2 linked regions of the Notamacropus eugenii genome follow. The protein of the gene in region 2 purifies or fractionates together with the protein of the main gene of each other region. This does not show direct contact. Links are inferred from orthologs where the notes say so. Each region holds a gene or a part of one and is shown on either strand. Other genes may lie near its edges.

Region 1 (7,020 bases), on a different chromosome or scaffold from region 2:
ATAAGGAAAATGCTATCTACCTCCAGAGAGAACTGATGGGGTCTGAATGCAGATCAAAGCGTACTATTTTTCACATACAGTATTTTTTTGGTCATTTTTTTTCCCTTTGGGTCTATGACAACATGATTGATTTGGTAATATGTTTTGCATGATTGACCATGTATAACCTATATCAAATTGCTTTTCTTGGGGGGGAAGGGAAGTGAGGGAGAAAATTTGGAACTCAGTTGTTTTTTAAAAATCAATATTAAAAATTGTCTTTATATATAATTGAGGGGAAAATAATTTACTTTTTAAAAAAAATACTGGAGTAGTTTGCTATTTCCTTCTCCAGCTCATTTTACAGATGCTGTAACTGAGGCAATCAAGATTAAATGATTTGCTAAGGGTCACATAGCTAGCAAGTGTCTGAGACCAAATCTGAGGAATTTCCTGACTCCAGGTCTAGCACTGTATCTACTGCATCATATAGCTGCCCCAACGGGTATACAGTAGGTGCTTAATGAATGTCCCTTCCAAAATACTACTAGGGCTCATTAGTGAAAGCCCTTATTATGCATAAGATCTGACTAAGCATTAGCACAGGAAAAAAAAGTGTGTGTGTGTGTGTGTGTGTGTGTGTGTGTGTGTGTGTGTGTCTATACTTGGCAAGTGCTAAAGACAATGAACTGGACCTAGAATTACATAAGAAGAAAACAGGCTGGATCGTGCCTGAACAATTGCAGAGGTCTCTCAAAGGTCATAACTGGCTTGTTAAAAAAACATCATTCTCTTGGTATATGTGGCTATGACTAAGTGAAAAACATAATCTCAGAATAAAAATTACAGGTGATCTAAGAGCAGTAGAGATGTGAGTTAAGTGCAATTAGGCCATAGAACATTATAACTGATGTCCTGCCATCAAATGGCATACAACAGAACATCATGACCAGGTATGTGTTGGCTGTTTGTCTGTGCTAGAACCAGCTCATACAGGCTCAAGAGAGCTAATTTTTAAAAAAAAATTTCAGCGTATTTTCACCTTAATCAATTAAGTGCTGCAAGGGAGGGACTGGTTTGAAGGAGATGTTAATAATGCACATTACAGTGAAAAATTGTCTTTACATGTTAATGTAATTTTTTTTAAATAATGCGGAATACACTTAAAAGTGTTGTGGTTAAACATCTATGGATACAACATTAGATATGAGCCAAAAATGCAGGTTGCACTTTAGCAATAGACAGATATAAATTTCCGGAGTACTGCACAAAATATTGTAAAAGAGGAACGACTCCAGTATATCAGAAGGATCTCTTAAAGGGGGATGACAGTCATTCAGGATGAGAACGGCAGGTTTAGGTTACCTTTTCCAAAAGTGAAGGAGGTATTCATACAAAAGTTGACTTTTGTCTCTCCACCGTCCAGAGAATATGATAAACACTTGGCATTTTTTTAAACAAAGCTCTCTAATTTTGTTGTATCCCATATTTCTAGCCTTTTATCACTGTATTCTCCTTCAATCCTTGTATTTAAGAGAAACTCTTACTAACTATTCTCTATCTGCTCCTATTTCCTCCTGCACCCTCCAGGCCTGGAATGCACTCCCTCCACTGTCTGTCTGCTTGTCTGAATCTTCTCGGTTCCTCTAAGGCCCATCTCTGAAGCCACCTCTTCCACAAACCTCCTCTGACCCCCCTTCCTTCCCTAGCTGGAAGTGATCTCTCCTATTCAAATCTTACACGGCATTTTCTCTGGTGTCCTATTTCACTCCTAAGCTAGTATCACATTCTTATCATATTTTATTACCCCTATTGAACTGCAAGCTTTTGGAGCAAAAAGCTTTATGTTGTTTCCCACTTGGTTCATAAGAAACCCTTGAATACTTGTTGAATCGAACTGTCTTCTCTCCTGCCTTTCCTCAGTGACTACCCCTGTATTGAAGCAAGAGGCTCCATTTTGGGGATATCTGACCCAGCGTCATTGATGATCTCAAAGTTGTCTGCATATTCTCCCAAAACGTCCAAAAATCTTTTTCATTAACACGTCTATGGAACTGAATTAAATTAACAGAAAGGAAACAAATCTCACACTGTGATGGGTGTCAGGAAACGAATACTGCCAACAGAGGGCAAGGGAATCGCTGCCCTGAATATCCTGAAACCCTACAGGGCAAGGCAAGGAAGCGCCCAGCCGTCAGGTGCCCCTGCCAGCCGAGTCATGGCCTCCCCCTTCTGCGCACCGGCCTCAGGGCGCAGCCAGCCGGACGTCCCGACGGCCCCGGGCACGGCTGGCTCCTGCCCTGGGGTCACCCCCATCAGGGGAACCAGGGCAGTTCTTCATCGCAGACCCCGGGCCAGGGACAACCACAGCAGCGCAAAGCGGCAGGAACCCGGGGGGAGGGGAGGGGGTGGCCAAAATGCCCCCAAGGCAGGAACGCCGCCCTCGGGGGCGCCAAGGCCCGCCCAGACGTTCCGTCACGGCAGCAGGGCCGCAGCCCGGGCCGCAGGGAAATGACCACCCCCGGGCGGGCTCCGAGGACTGGAGGCCAGGGGGAGGGCAAGGACCAAAGCCAAGCAACAAACACCCACGAAGTGCCAATCTCCGGGCTAAGCCCCGGGCCTGCAGCTCCCCAGGGCGCCGGACTAGGGCACACATGGCCCTAGGCGGGGCTGGGGATGGGGATCGGGGCTCTCCTCCGCTCCCGCCTTCCCAGCTCGGGGGCACCGCGACTTCTTACCTTGCTCTCGATCTGCTTCACCATCTTCTCCGACGGCTCGGGCGGCTCGGGCTGCTCGGGAGGCGCAGGGAGCTCGGGAAGAGCGGGCTGCTCTGGTGGTGCGGACGGCTCGGGAGGAGGGGATGGCTCGGGAGGCGCTGGCGGCTCTGGAGGCGCAGAGGGCTCGGGGAGAGTGGGCTTCTCGGGCGGCTCGGGAGGCTCGGGTGGCTCGGGAGGCACTGGCGGCTCGGGCGGAGCGGGCTTCTCGGGAGGCGCTGGCGGAGCCGGCGGCTGAGCAGGCTCCGGAGGCGCGGGCGGCTCGGGCGGCTCGGGTGGAGCGGGCGGCTCGGGCGGCGCGGGCGGCTCGGGCGGCGCGGGCGGCTCGGGTGGAGCGGGCGGCTCGGGTGGAGCAGGTTTCTCGACAGGCTCCGGAGGCGAGGGTGGCTTAGGGGGAGCGGGCTGCGCAGGAGGCGAGGGAGGAGGAAGATGCTTGGGCGGCGCCGGGGGCGGAGGCCGAGGCGGAGGCGGAGACCGCGCCGACGCGCTGGTCAGGGAGGCCCGGGCGGGAGACGGGGACTTGGCTTTGGAGTTGCCTGCTCTGAAGAGTCCGAGAAACTTGGGTGCGGGTGACTTGAACTTGCTAGGTCCGGGTGACTTGGAAGACGGAGGCTTCTTGGGCGATGCTTCTTTCTGCGGGAAATGCAAGAAAGTAGCGGAGGCTCCGCCTCAAGGGCCCTTTATACCGTGGGCGGAGAAGAGCCCAGGCGACGGCCGCCCGGGGAGGGAGAGGAGGGCTGGAGGGGAGGGAGGAAGGAGGCCTTGCTCGCCCGGGCGCTCCCCTTCCTGGAACGCCCTCCCCCTTCCCTCCTTCGGCGCCCTGGGCTCGCGCCACGTCGCTCGCGTCACGTCTCCGGGGCCGGCCCCGCAGAGCGCCGGCCCCGCAGAGCACCGCCCCTATCGCTTCTCTTTCCCCGCCCCCCGCCCTGGCAACGGCGCGGGCCCGGGCCCAGGCCGCCCTGGCGCTTCACCCTCGGCCTGGTGCCGTCCCTTTTCGGATTTGATTTCCTAATCGTCCCATTGCCCTCGAGGATCACTTGGAGAGGAGTAGGAAAAGTTGACTAGAGTTTGCAAAACGAACCCATCGAGCCGTCCGAAATTTAATTACACTATGAGTAAAAGCCATTTCGTGGAAAACACCCTCTGCTCCAGCCGGCCCACGTGTCCCCTGGGCCAGCCCTGGAGGGCAGAGGGAGGGAGAAAGGGACGAGGCGGAGGGCGGACTGTGAGCGAGGTCCTAGGGCTTGGGGCCGGAAGAGCCCCCTGCTCTGGGCCAGCCCCCGACCACAAATGAGCGCACATGGGCATGGGCAGCCCCGGGACCGGGCTCCGGGGGAGGCGACGGAGAGCGGCGGTCGGAGGACAGGTTAGCGCTCTAGGTCGCGGGCGGGGCTGCCTACGAGGGCGTGGAAACGGAGGCGGGCCTCCGGGCCACCTGGGGAAAACGCCCGGGAGCGCGGAGGCAGCCGAGCCTCGGGGATGGGCTGCTTGGCCCGGCCTGAAGCCGGCCTCCGCCCCAGCGGGGGTGGGCCGGGCGGACGCAGTCCCTCGGACTTCTTGTCCTCGTGGTCTCCAGTCCCCAGGGCCCGGGAAGCGGGCACAAAATGCTGTGTAACGATGATGAGGAAGTCTCCGCGGCGGGCCCCCGCCCACCGCAGGCCGCGCCCTCCCGGAACTTGCCTTCTTTTTCTCCTTTTCCTTCCCTCCTTTTCTCCTTCTCATTTTCCTTGAAGTCGCTGCTGGTGACGCAGCAGATGGGCCCTGGTGCTGGTTTGGGGAGCCGCGAGATCAGGGAGGGCTGAGGGCCCGCCCCGGGGGCCTAGGTGGGAACTCCGAGGCGGCCATGCTCCGAACCGAGATCCCCGCGAGCTCCTCTTCTCCGAACTTTCCGGAGGTGCCAGTTCTATTGTTTGTTCCCGGGGTGGTTTGTGTGGCTGGCTCTGGTTGGCTGCCCCCCTCAAACCACCGGCAACCTAAAATGGTAAAGCCACCGGGTTAGACGGTAAAACGGTCAGTTCAGCGGCCAGATCCTCCCAGGGCTCGGGGGGAGGCCGATGGCCCCGGGCCGCCCCCGGTAACGATGCGGGAGACCAGGGTGCGGGCAGGGCCCGCGGTGCTGGGACAGGTCGTGTTTATCCACAAGTAAGAGAAGGGAAGAGTCATGCAGCAGCCTTGTAAGAAGACTAGGTAGTCTGGAGCAAAGGAGAGCTTTAGAACAGGTTAGAGCAGTGTCACAGCTCTGCTCCTGGGGCTCCTGTGAGCCCTTATTGGCCCCAGCAGGGCATTCAGGGCCCCCCGGCCCAGTCAGCCCCAGCTCCGGCCCAGTCAGCCCTAGCTCCGGCCCAGTCAGCCCCAGCTCCAGCCCCCCCCCGGCCCAGTCAGCCCCAGCTCCAGCCCCGCCGGCCCAGTCAGCCCCAGCTCCGGCCCAGTCAGCCCCAGCTCCAGCCGCCCCGGCCCAGTCAGCCCCAGCTCCAGCCCCCCCGGCCCAGTCAGCCCCAGCTCCAGCCCAGTCAGCCCCAGCTGTGGCCCAGTCAGCCCCAGCTCCAGCCCCCCCGGCCCAGTCAGCCCCAGCTCCAGCCCCCCCGGCCCAGTCAGCCCCAGCTCCAGCCCTCTAGCCCCCCCGGCCCAGTCAGCCCCAGCTCCAGCCCCCCCGGCCCAGTCAGCCCCAGCTCCGGCCCAGTCAGCCCCAGCTCCAGCCCCCCCGGCCCAGTCAGCCCCAGCTCCGGCCCAGTCAGCCCCAGCTCCAGCCCCCCCGGCCCAGTCAGCCCCAGCTCCAGCTCCCACTGCCCCTGCCCCGCACTCCCTCAGCCCAAGAACACCGGGCTGTCTTGGCTTCTTCCACGCGAGACTTATTCCCCGGAATTGCTCTCCCCTGGACCTTGTCAGGCATCCTCTCCTAGGGAGCCTTTTTCCTTTCTCTGTTCTCCAAGCTAGAGGCGACCTTTCCCCAACCCCGGTGCCCATATCGCTTTGTTTGTAGCTCTTCCCTAGGACTTACAAAATACTGGTTCACGTTTGTGTGTGTGCCTATGTTATTCAGGATAAGGACCAGAGGTTTTCTGTTGGTTTTCCACCGCAGAGAGGTCAAACATATGGCCCACAGCTGGGGCCTGGACCAGACTAAAATGCAGTTGGGAAATATTTAACAAAATATAACGTAAAACGTAGATAATGTGACATTTTAAAACGAAGTCAACATGTGGCCCACATGGATCCTTACGTATGATTTAATGGACTCCACTTCAACTTGATTTTTATACCACTGTTACAGAGTACTTTGCAATGAATAGAAGTCTTGTTTAAAGGGAAAAGTGGTGGATTTAAAGTTAAAAGGCCTGGACTTGAGTTCAAGTTCTGCCAACAGCTCTTCAGTGGCTGTGTCTCCTTGATGAAATGATGCCTTCTCTTTGGGCCACATTTTCTTCATTTGTAAAATGAAGTCGGACTAGATGGTCTCTAAGTTTTCTTCGGGCTATAGGATTCTGTGATTCTGAGACTCAGCAGGGTAAGCCCTCAATAAGTATTTGTTAGTAACAGGAGTTACTCATTTATCGTGAGTTTTAAGATTTTAAGTGCATTTTCCCTGTGTGGTCCTCACAACAAGGAAGATGCTGTGATGATGCTCATTGTACAGATGAGACTGCTGACTCCTGGAAAGGTTAAATAACTTTGTTAGAGTCACACAGGTAGTAAATAAATATTTGGGATGAGGATGCAAGCCCAGGTCTTCCTGACTCCAAGTCTAGAGGTTTAACCACTACTGCCAGAGTAACCATGAACCACTAAGAAGTGAAAGGGGACCATCACCGGTAGTCCTGACTGGTAGCATTAGATTGGAGAGAGTGATGCTAATGACTTGGCACAGCTCTGCCTCACTTAAATTCAGTTGGTGAGGAAGTTAAGATGTCACCCCTCTGATGTCATTGTTCCTTTTCTAGAAGGATGAACAACAAGAAATCAAAGAGCCAGATGTGCAGTAATAAAATAGAAAGGCTAATTTTGATCAAATACATTGTATTTCCCAACACCTTCATTGTTATCTTTCAGACAACTGAAGACCATAGAAGTAAAGTTTCTGATAGAATCCTTGAGAAGACTAAGTAGTTAGGTGGACGGAGAAATGGTTGAATGATGGATTGATGGATCGTTGAGTACTTGTTAATTATTCAGTGTCAGCCTTAAAGGAAGTCCTAAGGGAAGTGCTTCAGGGATCTGTATTAGGCCCTGTTTTGTTCAGCATTTTTACCAATTACTTGGATGAAGATGA
Region 2 (7,105 bases):
ACAGAGAAAAAAAATCAGTTCCCTGAGGCAGATTTCACTCCAAGACATAAGCAGCCCACATGCTCATATTCCTCAAGGAGTTTAGAGGTTATTTAGAAGCTGCCTTCAAACTAGCCAGTGACCCTGGGAACCAAGCTTGGCTCTACCCCAAGGGAGTCATGCTGGTAGAACAAGGCCAAGGCTCAGGGTTGTTCTATAAGCCACAAGTGAATCGAGGAGAGCATCTGGTGTCCCCACTGAAAGCCAACCTCAATGGGAACATTGTTTATCCCAACAAATCTGTCAGTGCCATCCTGTTCCTCAGCGCCCAAGGGAGGGCAGCATCTTGGACTACTGGCACTCTCATAGGATCCTCCCTCTGGGGTCAGGGTAGTGTGTGTACACGGGTATGTAAGGGCATGACAGCTACCCTTTCCTCTGCCAACCAGCTGTGGCCCACAAGGCTCAGAACCCACCACGCCGGGCCTCTCTGTTCATCAGCTTCTGCAAGGCTTAGCTCAGAATAGCAGCTGCAGCTGCGAAGCAATCTGGACACTTTCGGGACCCAGAAAACCCAGCAGGCCTGAGTGACCAGGCCCTCTTCCTTTGCCATTCTGAGACCCAACTGCACCCCAGACATCAGCCCTTGAGGGGAGGGGCACTGAAGAGAGCCTTCAGTTAAGGCACAAAAAGGAAAGCACCTTCCTAAGCCAGCTGAGACCCCAGAGGAGAGGCTGGCCAAGGTCCTCTGGGTATCAGCCATTTTATCTGAGGAGATCCAAGGCCCTTTGATATCAGAATTGGGCGCAGATGGGGAGGGAAGGAGATAGGCCACAGTATTATTCTCTCCTGGAATAAGCAGTGGGGGGGGGCAACATCACCACTCAGCCCTAGACAGGAAATAAAAACAGCTCAGCAGAAAGTGCACAAAGGTGCCTTTGTTATGGAGACTTGGTTAATCAAGAAATGTTAATCAGGCTCGGGCAATTCAACTCACCTTTGTAATCAGAAAGGCTGATGTCTTTGAACTGCCGATCTGGCATAACAGCTGTAGCTCTGAAATTGGGGGCTGGGAACCCAATCTTGGCATTGCCCGCAGACATGTTGACAGTATGACGGTAACTGGGGGCCAAGAGGAATGAGGCTGGAAAACCAGAGAGGTGACTTCAGGAGAGGTACCAAGTTTCCCACTCCTAAGACAACCCGAGGCAGCTCACTTTTAGGGAGCACTGAGAGACTCGCCGGGCACCAAGGGGACATACTAGCCTAGAACCACACCTGACCATCTTACTGCCCTTGGAGCCCTCTGCCCTCCTGGTCACATATAACAAGGAGATCTAGTCACTTAAAATGAAGGATTTTCTGAAAGCAAAGTCCTGGCTGCCATCCTAAACTAGAAAGCAACCCCGGCAGTCCCCTCCAACTTCCCAGGGCTGAGCAGTTCTCCACAGCCCGATTAGGCAACAGGGTTTTGTGCCGGCTAGACCGGACTCCTCGTGGGGAGGGGCCTCTACCCTACGGCCCTCTCCCAAACCAGCCAGTCCCCAGGAAAAAAGGAAGAAAGATGGGTGGTTTTGCGCTCCGGCCTAGGCTGGAAATTCTGGGCAGTGCTAAGCAGAGATTAGGAGTTAAGGGGAACTGATTTCCATTCGGAGAGACTGATCACTGCAGAGCCAGGCAGAAGCTGCCGGTTCCAAGCCCAGGTGCACCGGAAGCCCCCCCGGCCCTGCCCTGCCCTCTCGGGGTGGGCTCACCCCAGCGCGCATCCACAAGGGGGGAGGAAGAGACGGGGGCTTTCTGCGGCACCCACTATGTGCCCAGCACTCGGCTAAACGCTTCACAACTCCGACCTCATCTGCTCCTCACACCCACACCCGGGGAGATCCGCGCTAACCGGGGGTTATCCCCATCTTACAGTTGGGGAAACTGAGGCAGACGGAGGCTAAGTGACTTATCCGTGGTCACGGCTGGGTCGGCGTTCCAATCCCCGACCCACCAGCGAGCTGCCTGAAGGCGGAGAGCGGAAGGGGCGCCCTCTCGGAACGAGGTTCACCCCCTTCGAACCCACTTTACAGAAAAGCCCCGAGGGACCCTGCTCCAATGCCCTTCCCCCACGGCCACCTCCCGGAAAGGACCCTGCCTAGGCAGGGGTGCAGCCCACCGCACCCCCTCCCGATCATCGGACCGTGGAGGCCGACAGTGCTGCCCACGTGGCCAGAGAGGAGGATGGAGGCCCTCGGGGGCACCAGGGCCCCGGTGCCCCCGGCTCCCGATGCTGGGACCCCGGGACGATGGGCTGCTGCACTCCCCGGGGGGGCCCCCTCCTCGGTCACACCGGGGAGAACCACGAGGAGAGGGCGGGAAAGTAGAGTCGCCGCCGCCGCCCGCTCCTCCCCAGGCGCCTCGCTTCCCCCCCGGAGCCCCAGTTTCCTCCACGGTCCAAACAGAGAAGGCCGTGGGGGTCCCTGTAAGAGGCTGTTTCGGGGCAGGTGAGCCCGTGCCTCAGTTTCCCCATTTGTCCCACGCCCGGGCCCGGCTTCTATTCCACCAATCTGATGTGGCTTCGAGAACTTCAAGTCCCGCCCCCCACCCGAAGGTTCCCCAACACGCCCCCACCAGCCAATCAGCGTCCTTGGGGGGGTCGTCCGCCTTTCCCAGGACGTCCCGAGCTTCCCCGCCCGTCCCCAGCCGCCCGAGGAGGGGCAGCACGGCGGCAGAGAGGGGGTGGCGTGGGGGACGTGCCCGCTCCCTGGCCTCACCAGCTAGGCTCCGCAGACAAGGTCGAAGAAAGGCCGAACCCCTGAGCAGGAGCTGGAGAGCGCGAGGATGCTGCGCCCAGCGCCGCCTTTATAAGCCCCTGATCTCGCGAGAGGCTGGGCGGCAGAGGGCGGGCCCGGCCGCCTGAAGCCCCGCCTCCTCCCTGCTTCCCTCCCTCTCCTCATCCACGCCTTCAGCATGACTCGGCACTTTTCCGGGGTTCGGGGGCAGGACGCCCCTCCTTCCCCAACCCCAGATCACGCTCACTGGGCCCTCTCCCCCACCACCTGACGTCTGGGCCTCTCAGACCAGGAAATCCCTCCCCCGATACAGATCGCCTCTCTCTCTCCCTCCCAGCGGCCCGGCTGCCTCGGAACACCCCTGAACCCCTGGCGAGGTGTCGGTGCAGCTTGGGAACTCCCTGCGGCCATGAGACACATGCCCTGCTGAGCTTTTTAAAAGATAATTAGTAACAATTAATAAGTAACAATGTAACCGCATAGCAGCAGCCGTACAGCCCCCGCACTCGCTGCATCCCGGGCCCCGTGCTCTGCCCGACAACTACAAAGAGAAGCAGAAGCCAGAGGTCTCCCGTGGAGTGCCCCAAGGCTCTGTGCAGCCCGACGTTTCTCCCCTTGACCAGAGTGGAGGCCCAGGTGGATGAGAGCTCATCGCATAGGGTGCTGATGCACAGCTGGGAGGGCTGACTGACGCACCCTGAGCTAGGACTGGAAAATACAAGCTCGTAGCTGTGGAGCTGAATGGAAGGTGAAATTCACTAAGGATAAACAGCAAGTGTAACATTTGGGCTCAAAACTAGACTTCCATGCGGGAACCAGCTTGGCCAGCCTGAGTCAGCACGTTGGGCAGCATTAAGAGAGGCCCAGCTTTCAGGATCAGGGAGCTCAGTGAGAGTCCTGCTGGGTGTGGGGCATGGGGAGAGACTGGAGAGAATGAATTTGTCCTAAGTTGGTTAAGCTCCCACTATGGGTCTGGCATGCCACCTGGTTACAAAGCAAAAAAGGAAACTGGGCCCTGCCCTCAGGGACCTTCCATTCTGCTGCTGGTGGAGAAGGGAATCTCAGAGGAGACAGGGGGGAGGGGGAGCACCAGAGCTGTTCTCCATGTTGGGAAGGGCTGTTATATGGAACAAAGATCAGCCTTGCTGGTCCGAACAGTTGAGGGGGAGGGGGAATCGTCAAAGAGGCCAAATCAGTTCAGGCTCAGTGTTAGGAAATCCTTGCTCTCCTTAGGGGCTGGCCAGGAATGGAAGGGACTCTTTGGGAAAGGTAGTGAGCTCCCCATCTCTGGTGGTCTCCAGTCAGAGGCAGGGTGACTCCCTGTGCAGGATATTGTAGAAGGATTTCCTGTTCAGGTGTGGGTTGCGCTCCTTTCTGTAGAGTGTTATATGATAAGCAGGATGAATGGGGGAATGAGTACCAGGGGAGGGCTCAGTGGGCTTTGTCTTTAGGTGCCTTGGGCTTTGAGGAAATGTAGGGGGGGAGGGGCTGAAGCAAGCCTTGGGCGATGAGTCTGGGGCTGGGAGTGGCAGGAGAAGGAAGCTGGCTTTCCTGGTGGTGGGAGGCTCGAATAGGATGTGTGCCACCTGGAGCCTGGCTCAGTCCCCACCCCCACATCCCTGGATGTGGCCCTTCCTCCCCTACTTGGCCTTTGTTCCGCCCGGGGCTGTTCATTCTCTGTGCTGAGCGAAAATAGTTAGGGAGCTCATTAAATACTTGCTGATTGATTGGGTGACAGAGAGGAAACACTGAAGGTGGGAAATATCCAAGGTTATTATCAAGAACCTGGGAGGTTCCCAGAGGCAGGGAGAACAGTGAGAAAGCTATTTCAATGGTCTTGGCTGGAGAAGAAGGCTCTAGGCTTGTGGCTGGAAGGCCTCAGAAGTCCACTACTCCAGCCTTCTTCCTTTACGCCAGAGTTTTCCACAGGCTGGATTATGAGAAATAAGACTTAAACCCAAGTCAGCCTGATGCTGTCCTGAGGGTGCCATTCCTCCTCTCCCCCCTCCTTCACAGTGGCGTCTCCATGACACCAAAGAGAATGATAGCTAGGGAGAAAGAGCAGGTAAGGCCTCCAACCTGAGCTCAGGGTCGTCATTAGGAGTCATTGCCGACATTGCTGGGGGCCCTTTATGATTACAAAAGTTTCCTCACATTTATGATCTCCTTTCACCTTCCCTCCTCCTTAACCTGTTGGGAGGTAGCTAGGGCCTCAGCGCCATTTAATAGCCACAGAGGTCAAGGCTGAAGGTCCCAGAGCCAGAATTCCCACCATTGTCATTCTGGAGGTCTGGCCCTTGGGGAACCATTTCTGGCTAGAAAAAAAGCAGAGAGAAAGGAATAAAAAGGGAGCTGATTTGCCCACCCAGCATGGTGTCCCAGGGAATAGTCTGGAATGTGTTTCAGAGATTTTAAAAGAAGGTAGGGGAGGGGATTTCTAGGTGTGTTGGAAATTTCTCCTCTAAGCAAGTGAGTGAGTCTCTGTGCCCTGAGATCTTTAAGTGGGAGACAGACTGTGTGACATGTAGAGGTCTAGAAGTAGGGGCTGCTGGTAGATGGCTTCTGTGGATGCCCAAACCCCCTCCTATATTCTCTGTCTATCTGACAAATGCCCATTTCTGCCTCTGTTGATGTTTACCCTGATGCTTTCCATCAGTTCAGTATCTCACCCTGATTCTGTGTTCATCCTCATTGAAGGGGTTTAACATGACTGAAAAATTCATGCTAAAAAGTGTGGGAGCAAGCACATAGCCTTGTTTCACTTTCTTGGTGACTGGAAAAGCACAAGAGCATCATCCATTATCCAGAGCCCAAGCCAGCATGCCATTGTGAAATTGATGTACAATACTGATGAACTTCTCTGGGCAACCAAATTTTAACATAATTTTCCATAAGCCCTCACGACTTACAACATCAAAGGCCTTGGTCAGATCTACAAACATTGTGTTCAGACCTCTGTTCTGCTCCTGGCATTTCTCCTGGAGTTATCCAGCAGGAAACATCATATCTACTGTTCCTCAGCCCTTTCTGAAGCCACACTGGGTCTCAGGCAGATGACTGTCTTCCAGGTGAAGCATCAGCCTATTAAGGAGGACTCTGAAAAGAATCTGGCAATGGGTAAGACAGAGTTCCCCCTGTGATTGTCACAGGACAATCTATTTCTTTTACCTTTATAGAGGTGGACAAAAAGACTATCTTACAGAGAATTAATTGACAGAGGGTAAGTGCTCACATGGTGGTCAGAAGAAGCAATAGAAGGACACTTTCAAGGTCTCTCTTAAGGACTTTAGAATTGATTGTGTGATGTAGGGGACACTGGCACAGGACCACCCAGCATGGCATGCCCTCGTCAGAGAAGTCACTGTGCTCTATGAGCGAAGTAGAATTGAAGTAGCTCAAAAGAAATTTGAGATGCACAGATGTAGAGAATTCACCCCATATGTTCACATGGACTGTTTGTGCCCTAGCTGTGGTAGAGCATTCCGAGCTCATATTGATCTGATCGGCCACAGTAGGACACACTATAACTTAACTCTAATGTAATGATGTCATTTAGGCCCTCTTTGGGAATGGACAACAGCTACCACTTTTCTGCTTTCCTACAGGACCAAAAGGTGTTGATTTATGGGGCTGTATGAACCAGGAGGGGCAGTCTCTAGTGGTGAGCCACCTGGCTTTTTCTTCAGCCTTGTCTCCTACAAGATGGTCATCAGTGACTTAGATGAAGACAGAAGGCATGCCTGCCAAGTATTCAGAACATTCAAAGCTGGGAAGGCTTTGTTAGCTCACATAATCAGGATTCAGAGTCATCCTGACAGTTCAGAACCAAGGAGATGACTCAACAGCTTCATGGTGGGAGAGGAAGTAGAATTGTAGGGTCATGGGTGGGGGAAGTGGGATGTCCAGGGGTGAGAGCTCAAGCTTACAATCAGGGAATTAACCAAGAGTCAAATTTCAGCTGAGGAATCTGGAGGAAGTCCAGTGCAAGCAGGAAGAAGGAAATTGTGAGCCAAACAATAGGGCATACTTGGGTGGATCGATGATGGATGGATGGATGGATGAATGGATTGGTGGATCGATGATGGATGGATGGATAGATGGATGGATTGGTGGATCGATGATGGATTGATGGATGGATCAATGAATGATGGATGACTGGCTGCAGGGGGCATGTTTTAGGGGAGAATTCTGCATAGAAATGCCTCTGAAATGCTCTGATTCTCCTAAGTGGGTGAAGACCAAAGAGGCAAGGATGTCTTTGAAACCAGACATCTTCCCACCACGGATTATCTTTTCCAACTTCCACCCAGAAGTGCCTGGCTATGCTACCTGAAAGCAGTTAATTGGAG

What was found.
Region 1: the proteins of PRDX1 (region 2) and TXN purify together in Homo sapiens (affinity purification with western blotting; 3 studies listed by BioGRID, with this or other methods). This does not show direct contact. The link is inferred for Notamacropus eugenii from reciprocal best matches to the Homo sapiens genes PRDX1 and TXN.

Annotation. Positions count from the first base shown.
Region 1 is NC_092872.1:98,090,227-98,097,246, reverse strand, and holds the start of TXN (thioredoxin), read right to left. Parts: upstream 3,014-7,020; 5' UTR 2,742-3,013; coding exon 2,718-2,741; intron 1-2,717. Other genes in the region: uncharacterized protein, read left to right, coding at 4,834-4,895, 5,100-5,733. UniProt on the Homo sapiens protein: Participates in various redox reactions through the reversible oxidation of its active center dithiol to a disulfide and catalyzes dithiol-disulfide exchange reactions.
Region 2 is NC_092873.1:506,673,415-506,680,519, forward strand, and holds the start of PRDX1 (peroxiredoxin-1), read right to left. Parts: upstream 3,005-7,105; 5' UTR 2,739-3,004; intron 1,124-2,738; 5' UTR 1,083-1,123; coding exon 977-1,082; intron 1-976. UniProt on the Homo sapiens protein: Thiol-specific peroxidase that catalyzes the reduction of hydrogen peroxide and organic hydroperoxides to water and alcohols, respectively.